Linked DNA regions of Notamacropus eugenii. The main gene of each other region encodes a partner of the protein of the gene in region 2 in a complex. Links are inferred from orthologs where the notes say so. Each region holds a gene or a part of one and is shown on either strand. Other genes may lie near its edges. The genes, in order: STRIP1, STRN and PDCD10.

Region 1 (3,745 bases), on a different chromosome or scaffold from region 2:
CTGATCAACAGTACCTAGAAGTGTGTCATTTCCTTGGTATAGGGAACTCCCCCCACCACCAGAAAAATCCCCAAACAAAAGACTCCAGTGCAGGCTGACACTTTTTTAGCATCTTAAAGGTTGGGGAAACTGTTTTAGAAGCAAGAATTAGCCCTAGGTCTTCCAAAAGTCATGGAGCTGGAAGGAACCTAAGATGCCATCTGATGGATCCATTTTACAGATGAAAAAAGGGAAATTACTTCTGTCCCATGGGACAGAGGCACCAAGATGGCACATGATGACGACTTGCTGGCCTGCTGCTAGTACACTGGCCTATCCCCTCCCCCCACTTCATTTACTAAGAAGGAGGCCTAAGTGGGAGGCAGAGAGGGGGCAGTGGACCTCCAGTCTGACTCCCCTTGGCCGCCCTTTCCACTGACCCTCCGCTGGAGAGCTCAGAGCAGCGGTCAGCAGGGTGCGAGGTCAGTTTCTTCCAGTCCAAACGAGCTTTGCCTAACAAATAGCATTGGAAAATAGTGAGCCCGTAACCTGACTCTGCAGCCAGGGGGCGCCATAGTAACCAGAGCGGGACCTGGAGCCACGAAGACCCCGCCTTCTGAGTTCAAATTCAGCCTCAGACCCGTACTAGCAGTGTGACCTTGGGCAAGTCACTTCACGCTTTTTGCTTCCGTTTCCTCACCTGTAAAATGAGCTGGAGAAGGAAATGGAAGATCACTTCAGCATTTTTTGCCATGAAAACCTCAAATGGGGTCACACGACTGAAAAACGACCTACCAACTACCACAGTCCGACCGTGCGTCGTGTTGCGGGGCGCCCGAGAGGTATTCCAGGCTAAGACACCCTAAAAGGTTGCCGCGCTCAAGATGGCGTCTCCCATTCACCGCCACACTCATTATGGCGGAAGTGAGGGGGCGCGGCAGGGTTAGGGGTCAAATCTCGCGAGAGAAGCGGCCCCACGGCCATGCGAGAGTTGGGCTGGGGCCGCAGGAGCCAAGATGGAGCCGGGAGGCGGTGGGCCAGGCCCTCTGATCGTGAACAACAAGCAGCCGCAGCCCCCGCCGCCCCCGCCTCCCGCGTCCCCGCAGCCCCAGGCCGTGGCCCCGCGGACCGCCGGCGGCGGCGGGGGCGGCGGGGGCGTCCTGCCCGGGGGCAAAGGGCGGGAGTTCAACCGCAACCAGCGCAAGGACTCGGAGGTCAGGGGGGGGGCGAGGGCGAGGGCGAGGCCGGGCCGGGGTGGGCAGGGGCGGGGCCCTGGCGGGGGCGGGGCCTAGGAGCGGCCGCTGACCGGGCGCTGTCCGTGCGCTGTCCGTGCGCTGTCCGTGCGCTGTCCGTGCGGCGGGGGCCGGAGCCGGAAGCTGTGCGAGGCCCGAGGCCCCGGGGGCTCGGAACCGCGGCGGCCGTGGGTGGGCCCGGGGCGACCTCGGCCTCCCGGGCTGAGGAGGGAGCTGGGCGGCGCCCTCCGGAATGGACCGACGCCCTCGTCGGCCGCGGTGCCCCTGCCCTCGGAGAAGCCACTTGAAGGCCGGCCACCCGCTCCTCCTCCTCGGTCGTCGGGCCATCTTCGCCTGGGTCACCTCCAATCTCCCGACCTGGGTGTGAAAACCAGAAAGTGCGCCTTGGCCCCGAGCGCCGCCCTGGCTACGCCCGAGTCATTCACCGGCTCGGGAGTAGTTCCGCCCACCGGCCTCATGAATGAAAATACACGTTGGGGTTTCCTTTTTTTAAAAATTAGGTCACCTTAATCAGCATATTCCCCAGCACTTCGCTGTTCCTTGGAGAATCATGCTTCCTGAGATAGTCACTGGGAAGGAGAGGGGACCGAACTCCTTCACCAGGAATTTTCTGACCCGGTGGCCGAGGGAGGCAGGCGTCTGTCAGGGAGCCGGCTCTTAGGGAATGTTGTCACATTTTCAGTAGTTCGGTCTTTAAAGCCCCAAACTGGCCGATCTCAGAGGAGCCTCACCGTCGGCGAGACGGTGGTGATTAATTCAGCCAGTCTGTATTGGCGGCCTACCCAGTCTGGATGAGGAAGGCGCCCAGCTCTGGCCCCGCTCTGTGCCCGGCCCTGTGCCCGGCTCTGGCCCAGCTCTGGCCCCGCTCTGTGCCCGGCTCTGGCCCAGCTCTGGCCCCGCTCTGTGCCCGACCCTGTGCCCCGCTCTGTGCCCGGCTCTGGCCCAGCTCTGTGCCCGGCCCTGGGCCCCGCTCTGTGCCCGGCCCTGGGCCCCGCTCTGTGCCCGACCCTGTGCCCCGCTCTGTGCCCGGCTCTGGCCCAGCTCTGTGCCCGGCCCTGGGCCCCGCTCTGTGCCCGGCCCTGTGCCCCGCTCTGTGCCCGGCTCTGGCCCAGCTCTGTGCCCGGCCCTGGGCCCCGCTCTGTGCCCGGCCCTGGGCCCAGCTCTGGCCCCGCTCTGTGCCCCTTGTGTGACAGGCACCGTGAGAATGCAGGAGAGAGGGGCCAGGGAAGGCCGCCCGGAGCTGGCGTTGGGTCTGAGGCTGACCTTGGAGGGGGGCCTTTAGCACGGGGCCCTGTGCAGTGGTGAGGAGGGCCCGCAGGTAGCGGCAGAGGGGGGCAGAGAAGAAGCGGGGCCGCGGAGTCCCAGAAGATCAGAGTTTGGCTTTAACCCGTCGGCAGTGAGGAGCCACTGAAGATGGGCAGCGTTGGTTGTACGAGAGGATAATTAATGGCGCAGCGGTATGTTAGATGGACGAGAAAGAGGAAAGAGTGGGGACCCTGGAAGCAGCACTGCCTTTGACCGGCTTATTACCAGTGTGGGGAATCCCCACCGTTCCGAGCCTTGGTCAAGTGAGTGACTTGCATTGGATGATCTCCAGGGACCCTTCCAGCTTTCAGTCTCTGGTCCTGTGATCGATGGGGAAGTGTTGGAGTCGAGAAAAGCCTGAACTGGTTGGTAATGATACAACAGAGGAGGCTTATGGAAGTAGAATCCACGAAAATGGTGATTGGCTGGTTGTGGAAGGAGAGGGAGAAACTCAGCTAATTGCCTGAGTTATTTGAACCTTGAATGATTAGGTACGTTAGAATAAAGAAGTCAAAAGAGGAGCTTGTGTCCTTGAGAGGAGAGATAAAAGTGATGAGTCAGATTTCATGTATGTTGAGTTTGAGGTGTTAGCAAGACATTGATTTAGAGATGTCCAGAAGAGAGCTGAAAACTGGTCCAAGGTCAGACAGGTTAGGACTAAAAGAGATTTTCAGTTATCCCCGTAAAGGTGATGGCTAAAGTAGTAGGAGTGGATAAGTGTATGTAGAAAGGAAGATCCTTGAGGGAGATCCCCAAGAGGCAATTTGGAAAAAATGCTGATTTTAGAGTCATAGGACCTAGATTAGAAACCTGGTTATTTTCAGAGTATGAGCTCAGACAAGTCTTTCCATTTCTCTTGGCCCCAGTTTGTAAAATGGGGGATTTAAATTAGATTATTTTAAAGACACTCTCCAGCTCTAAATCTTGTGACCTCACATTTACCTGGGTAAGGAGAAACAGAATAATCTAAGAAGTAGGTGTAGAAACAGAATGTGATATCACAGAAGCCAAGGAAAAAGAGAATTTCAGGGAGGGAAAAGTGAGTTGTGTCATGCTACACAAAGTTCAAGAAGGGTTCAGACTGAGAAGAAGCTCTAGAAATGACCTTTATGGTAGTGAATTATATGTCATAATTCAGAAGCAATTGCCCATCTCCCTAGTTAGCTGTCAACAGCGTGCTATAGAAATGTTTGTCGACACTTCCTCCA
Region 2 (3,745 bases):
AATGTACTCTACCAATGGACCATTCATGGAAGAAATTTAATTTTATTGGATAATATTCCCTCCTTACTATGTGCATGGGCCTTTACTAGGGCTTTGGAAGGAGTTGTCAGAAGAGGTGATCACCAAATTAGGAGTTGGAACAAACAGTGATACTGGGCTAGCTTTCCAGATGACTGGAGCAGGAGTGAAGCCCTCTAATCTTGGCAGAAAGGAAGAAAGTGATTTCCTAAGTTCATACAGGTTTTCAGCTGAAAGGGGCCCTTAGGAGATCATCTATTCTGCCATCTTTCCAGTATTACAAAAATTTCAGTTGCGAGTTCTAGATGTGTAGATTCAGACTTAGGACCTACATGAATGACTTTGACAAGTCAATCACTTAGGTCTTCAGTTTTCTCAACTATCAAATACGGGAGCTGACCTGGAAATTCTCTTCTACATCCCAATCTAAGATCTTATGAATTAGCCCAGCAGTTCTCAAATGTTTTTATAATTAGTATTACTTTACACTCTTAGAAATGATTGAGGACCACCCTCCTCTTTGGGGTTCATGTGGTTTATATCTACTGATATTAACCATGATAGAAATTGTGTCTTATTATGAAACTAAAATGTTATCATGAAAATAGCTTTGATCTCGATTATCCCCTGAAAGGATCTCGCTGACCCCAACTGGTGAGAGGACTTAGAAAGCCTGGGTGGGCTTGGGGTGTGGGAAGAGAACGGGAATTAAGGAAAATCCTGCCAAGGTTTGGAGGGAAGTACTCCTTCAGGTCAGTGGAGGCTTCAGAGACAACATAAAAAGATCAGGCCGGGAATGGAAAACAAAACAAAACTCGTGACCACCATTTTCGTGACTTTAACTGAAATTGACGCAGCAGGGTAGAGAGGGACCGGTCCTGGGACCAATTCCCAAGACGAACTTTCGCCTAGAAGGAGGACCAGCCAGCCAGTATAACCCCGGGAAACGACAGCTCGTGGGGGAAGAGCCGAGTCGTCGATCCTTTGGTGCGTAGAGGGATGTGATATGTTTGTCTCCGCGGATCTGCGTGGGTGCATGTGCGCGACCGTGCGAGAGAGAGCGCTGTCACAGACGACTTCCTTGGGGTGAGGGTGCGTGTGCTACTTAGTTAGAGACGGAGACCGAGCGAGCGCAGAGCCCGCGAACTTCCGTGGGTGTGGGTATGTGCAAGAGAGCGCGGCCCAAGAACTTCCTTCCGTGCGTGTCGGTGTGTGTCCCGAGAAGCGGCCCGCACCCGGCTCTGCCAGGCTGAGGGGCGGGAAGGAGGACTAAGAGGTCTCCGCCACAGCTAGGCTCAGACAGCTGGAGTCTGCCAGCGCTAGTTTCTAAAGAATCCTTCCAGGCCCCCTAGCCCCTTTCCCAACTCCCGCCGATTAACGCCGCCACCCCGAGACTACATTTCCCAGCAAGCCCTCGGGGCGCGCGCGCTCTGCAATTGACCCATTTCCCGGCCCGTCAGCAGCTCGGGGGGCCGGCCAAGCGCCCGGGCAGCCGCTCCCTGCTGACTCGGAGTGTGGGCGGGGAGAGGAGGGCGGAGGGAAGAGGAGGAGGCGCCGTTGCTGCCGTTTGCCTCGGCGGCTGCGAGAGCCGGCACCGGTCCGCAGCAGGCTGCCGCCACGGCCGCCATGGACGAGCAGGCGGGGCCCGGCGTCTTCTTCAGCAACAGCCACCCGGCGGCAGCCGCGGGCGTCAAGGGGCTCGGGCCCTTGGCAGAAGCGGCGGCCGCGGGCGACGGGGCGGCTGCGGCGGCGACGGGGGCGGCCCGAGCCCAGTACAGCCTCCCAGGGATCCTGCACTTCCTGCAGCACGAGTGGGCCCGCTTCGAGGTGGAGCGCGCCCAGTGGGAGGTGGAGCGGGCGGAGCTGCAGGTAGAGACCCTCCCGGCCCGGCCCTCCTCCTCCCGCCTCTTTCCTCCCTCCTTCCTCCCTCCTCGCCCCGCCCCTGCCGCTTCCTCCCAGCCTCCCGCCTGTCCCCTCCCCCTTCCCTCGGTTCCGCCCACCCCGCCGCGAGAGCCCCTTCACCTCGCCCCACCCACTCTGCCTCTACCTGCTCTAGTCCCCGGCCGCCCCTCCCGTGTAATGGAATGAAATGATGTTTGTGGAGCGCTGGGCGCGGCGCCTGGACGGAGGAGGCCCTTGGGAAATGCCTCTTCCCTGCCCTGCCCTGCCCCCCCCCCCCCCCCAAAGCTGCTCCCCCGTCGTCTCCTGGTCCTGCTCGGAGCTCGGGTCTTTTCCTCCTTAGTTGAAGATTGATAAGCAGGGTCCCGGACCGCTCCACTTCCGAGAGTCATGCCCCGCGTCGGGGGGCCAGAGCCAGAGAGCTCCCCGCAGGGTTGAGGGGTCAGCGCTTGGCCAGACGTGGTGTTTTCCTGTAGATTCTCTTCTCGGTGAAAGAAAGGAAATGAGAGGACAGATGAAGTTGTATGGCCAGAGGTGGGAAACGGAAAAGGGAAAAAATAGTATCTTCAGAAACAGAAAATTCCTATATATTCGAATCTCTGCCTTATGCCGCAGTGCGTTTCACCCACTGATTTTAGATCCGAGATGTCTGAATGAATGGAGGGTCAGAAGTCAAGTTCTTTACTTAAGGGAAACTGATTTGTTAAGATTTAAAAACAAAAAAAACCCCCACACCACAGATTCTCTGGGGGGAAACAAACAGAAACCTCGACCAAATATAAAAACTTTTTGTCAAGAGGTTTTTTTCCAGATTGAATTTTTCTTTGAAGGAAGTTGAGGTCTGTTAAAGGGAGTCACATTAGTGATAGGCTGTACAACGCCTTGTTTTGAGATAAGATATGTCCGCTCCAGACTGGGTGTTCACAGGCTTTGCACAGTTAATCCCTTCACCGTGCCTTAAGTCCTGAGATAGAGCGATCTTTAATAACTAAATGTTCAGTCCTGTGGTAGGCACTGTCCTGGGGATACAGAGAAAGGGGAAGAAAAGAGGGGGGGAGGTTCTGGCTCTCAAGGAACTCATCTTCTAGTAGGGGAAACACCATGCAGATAATTATATAGAAGGTACCATCTAAATGAAAAGTAACTCAGCAGGGAAGACCGGAGCAGAGGGGGGATGAGAAAGGCCTCTTGCAGAAGGTGGGATTGGGTTCTCTATGTGCCTGCTATGTCTTGAGTATAGCCTGTGGTTCCTTGATATACAGTTTACCTACTTACGTGGGAAAAGCTGAATAGTACTGTGGAAAGAGGACAAATTTGGAGGGCACAAAACTTGTGTGTTTGAATCCTGCCCCCTTTACTTCCTGTCTTGACATGGGCAAGTCACAGCTTCTCTGAGCCTCATTTCCTCATCTAGAAAACAGGGAGTGTGTGAGGATTAAATGATCTCTTGTTTTCATTGCAGCTCTAAATCTATGATCCAACAGGTATGTCCTGTTTCCTTGATAGAATATAAGTTCCTTGAATGCAGATCGTCTCATTTTTTTATTTTGTATCAGTATTGCCTAGCCCAGTATAGATATTTAGTAAATGATGAATAAATACTTGTTGATTGGATACTCTGGAAACAAGGATATCACCAACTGAATATCACCTTTTTTTAAAAATGGCAACTTTTCCTTGTTAGTCTCCAATATAAGTGGTTTGTTCAAGTGCTCCCAATTACTGCTTCTAAACAATCTCATTCCCCCACCCACAAAAAAAACCGGTTAAACAAAGCAACTTAAGTGATAATAACTTGTTTCTATAACTTTTATTTGGGTATTTGCAT
Region 3 (3,745 bases), on a different chromosome or scaffold from region 2:
CCGGGTGGCAAACGAAGCTGCCGCCGTCGCTCCTCCCTCCCCCTCCTCCTCCTCCTCCTCCTCCTCCTGCTGCTCTCGTGGTTACTCCAGCTGCGGATGCTCTTCCACCCTCCGGCTTCCCTTACCTTTCCTGGGCTGGAGGCTTTAGCTTCTGCTCCCCCCTCGCTATCTTACCGCTCCACCCCACCCCCAACTTTCCCTGTGTCTTCCCACCTCCGACTTCTATTGTTTCACCGTCCGCCCCGCCGGTTGCTCCCACACCTGCTGCACCTGCATGTGCCTCTGGATCGGGGAGGGAAGGAGGAGATGCTCCTATCTCCACTGGACCCTCCACCTCCCCCAGCTCAGCCGCCCCTGCCCCTCCCGGGAAGGGTACAGGAGTTGGGCGATGACAACTGCCCGCGGCCCCGTCTGGTTGAGCCCGAGAAGCTGCTGCCACTGCTCCTGTTAGAGCGAGTCGCTCAGAGCTCCCGTGCCCTCCACCCCACGCTAACCCCGGGGGTCCCTCCTAGCACGCGCCTCCCTCAGAGCCCAGAGCCACCCCAGGGGCTACCCTAGGCGTGCACCAGCCTCCTCCTCTACCTCCGCCTCCTCACCCCCGCCCGAGCCGAAGCCCGAGCCGACCACCCTCCCTGATTGGGCCAGGTGAGCCAAGACTCCTCCCCTTCTCTCGGATCCCCAGCCCACCCTCCCTTCCTCTCAGCCCCGCCCAGGGGAGCGAGAGGGCCTAGACGATTGGTTCGCGACGTCCCCACCCATCTCCTGGAGCCGCTCGCAGGGACCGCTGGGTGATGTAGTCCGATCCGGGTTCACGGCTGTGGGCAGGGCCGAAGGCTGAGACTACGAGCCCCCATCGGCCCGTGCGCGGCTCCGGCTGGGCAGGATTCCGGACAACGCCTGGTTCCTCTCGGCTCCTTCCGGCGTTGCCGGAGTGAATTGATCCGGGAGTTGAAGAGGCTCCGGAGGTGGGAAGTGGAGTCTGCTTCGGAGCTGCTGGCGCCGCCACCTCCAAGGGTAGGGCTGCCCTGCCGGCCTCGACCTCGCTGCGCCCCGGTGGGCGAGGGTAGGTGCGCCGGGGCCCGGGAGCCCGCGGGGCCCTGCGGGCGTCGGGCGGTGACTAGACGCGAGCGGCCTCCAGCGGGCTCATCGAGGCCGCCCGAGCGCGGGCCTCCCTCCCGGCCTCCGGCCTCCCTCCCCGGGGCCGCCGTCCAGGAAGTGGCGGCAATGGCTGGGGGCAGGCCTCGGCCGCCGAGGCCGGGAGGGGGCGGATGTGCCTCGGGTGGGGTCCGCTCCAGGTGTGGGAGGAGGAGCCAGGGACGGCGGTGGGGGAGGCTGGAGCCCGGAGCGGGCCCTGCGGGGTAGGGCGAGGAGGGAAGGGCCGGGGCTCGCGGCCCAAGGTCGGGGGTCACCGGCGTCCTCCCTGGACGGAGGCCTGCCGGACAAGGCGGGAGCCTCGGGGCCCCAGCTGCCCAGGCGTCCAGTCGGATCGCACACAGTAGGCGCTTCATAAATGCTTGTTCCCTTCCCACAGCCATTCCTTATTCTCCCTGTCTGTTGGAGTAGCGTCTGACTTCCCTGACTGGAGTGGGGGGGGCAGATCTATCACCTGGAACATCTGTGCCCCCCCTCATTGAAAATTAAACTCGTATTTGCCCTGCTGGGCCGCTTGGGGGGATCCTTGGCCCCCCCTGGACTCCGTGCCCCCGCCCCCGCCCCATCTCTGTGTTGAATAGGGAGTGTCTGAGTTGGAGAAGCCCCCCTTGGACGGCGATCGCTGCCCAGGTGCAGAACTTCTCTGTACCAAGTTTGTGCCCCACCCAGCCGGGCTCCAGGCTCCCTTGCAGTCGCTGTTGGGCTTCTCCACCCCTATGTCTCATCCTCACCTGCTCTTTTGGCCTCCTGAGGGCTGTAGAACTACAGGCATCCCGATGAGTCTGTGGCCAGCATCCATCGGCTCAAGTATTTTAACTTTAAAGGTGCATCTGAGTGCCTGTCATCTGAAAAAAAGTTGTGCAAGATTCATGGAAAGGGAAGAGGATCTGACTCACTTCTGGTTTTTTATCCTTGTATTGGAGGAGTCAGGTGATGGAAAGAGCACTGGATTGGAGCAGGAAGACCTGGTTTAGAATCTTAGCTGTGTGGCCTCCAGCAAGGCCATTAAGTGTCCTTGGCTTCACTTTCCTAATTTGGGAATTGAGTTACTTGCGCTAGATTGCCTCTGAGATCCTGTCCCAATCAGAAATCCTGCGATCTTGGGAATGGCTTTGGTAACTGATAAGAAGTGACAACTTATTCTTGTCTAATATAGGAAAGTCATTTCAGGACATAGGAGAACTTTAACGTGCTGCTTTTTCCTTCCACCAGGTCTCCCTTTGTTTAAAAAAAAATCTTTTTACAGAAGTACAGTACTTTGAAGTTGGTACTTCTAGAACAGTTTGCTCATACACTGATATTTCAGAGACTTAGAAAACAAGTTTAGTATGTCAGTATAGGGAGGTTACATAACTGATAATGTATGGGTTACCTCTCAGTGATTTACATTGACTTTTTGCCACCTTCAAGAATAATTTCAAAATTCAGCTCTCAGAGAAAATATTGCTGTTTAACTACATTGGTAGATAACATATAATATGTCCTGCAAGTCACATGATCTACCTCCCCTATTTTTTTTTTTAAGGATTTACATTCCTGAGAAGATTTCACAGTAAGGAACGAAGGAGATTGGGGTAAAATTTGTAGTTTCTATTAGGCTGAGAATAATGAAAAGGGACCTAGCACCCTCTGCCATGATAATTGCATGCTATGACTCTATGTAGTTATCTACACTAATATAGGTCTGGTATTAGGTATTATGATAGAAACTTTTAACAGAAATTCATAAAATGTTAAGTGTTCCAAGTTAAGATAAATTGACCTCAAAAATCATATCTAGTTATAGTCAGCCATCTCCACATAATTTGTTCTCAAGATATTTACTCAATTTTTTATAACAAAGAAAGCCCTGGCAGACTCTGTGTGTGTGTGTGTGTGTGTGTCTGTGTGTCTGTCTGTCTGTCTGTTTTACATGCTGGTCACTGTCTAATAGGTTTCCCTAGGTTCCTTTTATGACTTGAAGTTTGGAATAATGAGGGAATTTACCAAGATCCAAAAAGGATATTATGATAAAAGTCAACTTCAAGATAGAATAGAGATCCAAAATCAAAAGAATGAAATATAAAAGAGAATTACATATCAGTTATAATACACGTAAAAGGGAGAAAAGTCATCAAATTATTTAAGAACAATCAGCATTTGTTATGTCGGAGGAATCCTTCAAGATCCATCTGATGGCACCTTTTCCATGAAGTCTTCCTTGATCACTTAGCTAGATGTGGTTTCCATTTTTCATACGACCATCACCCTGACTTTCCCTCAGCATTTGTTTATTATAATCATTACTATAATTATTAATAGCCAATGGACATTTATTAATCACCTACTATGTACTGGGTTCTGTACTAAGCACTAGGGATTCAGATAAGAAAAAGAAGACCAGTCCCTGACCTCAAGGAGCTTACTGTCTACTAGAGAAAGAGTACACTGAAGAAGCTGAAAGGAGGAGGGGAGAGCCAGCGCCAGACTGTCTGGCCAGTGCTAACTCAGAACCAAGCAGAGCAGCTGACGGAAGATGAAGAGAAGGTTGGGAATTCTGAGCTCGCTAGAAATGGAGGCATTTAGAGGAGTTTTTAGCTTAGCCTTCCAACAG

What was found.
Region 1: STRN (region 2) and STRIP1 share a complex: the UniProt entries of both Homo sapiens proteins name them as parts of the core of STRIPAK complex. The link is inferred for Notamacropus eugenii from reciprocal best matches to the Homo sapiens genes STRN and STRIP1.
Region 3: STRN (region 2) and PDCD10 share a complex: the UniProt entries of both Homo sapiens proteins name them as parts of the core of STRIPAK complex. The link is inferred for Notamacropus eugenii from reciprocal best matches to the Homo sapiens genes STRN and PDCD10.

Annotation. Positions count from the first base shown.
Region 1 is NC_092873.1:288,384,910-288,388,654, forward strand, and holds the start of STRIP1 (striatin-interacting protein 1), read left to right. Parts: upstream 1-980; 5' UTR 981-995; coding exon 996-1,193; intron 1,194-3,745. UniProt on the Homo sapiens protein: Plays a role in the regulation of cell morphology and cytoskeletal organization. Required in the cortical actin filament dynamics and cell shape. Part of the striatin-interacting phosphatase and kinase (STRIPAK) complexes.
Region 2 is NC_092872.1:541,647,487-541,651,231, reverse strand, and holds the start of STRN (striatin), read left to right. Parts: upstream 1-1,553; 5' UTR 1,554-1,644; coding exon 1,645-1,887; intron 1,888-3,745. UniProt on the Homo sapiens protein: Calmodulin-binding scaffolding protein which is the center of the striatin-interacting phosphatase and kinase (STRIPAK) complexes.
Region 3 is NC_092877.1:356,732,171-356,735,915, forward strand, and holds the start of PDCD10 (programmed cell death protein 10), read left to right. Parts: upstream 1-866; 5' UTR 867-1,014; exon of another isoform or gene 1,015-1,067; intron 1,068-3,745. UniProt on the Homo sapiens protein: Promotes cell proliferation. Modulates apoptotic pathways. Increases mitogen-activated protein kinase activity and STK26 activity. Important for cell migration, and for normal structure and assembly of the Golgi complex.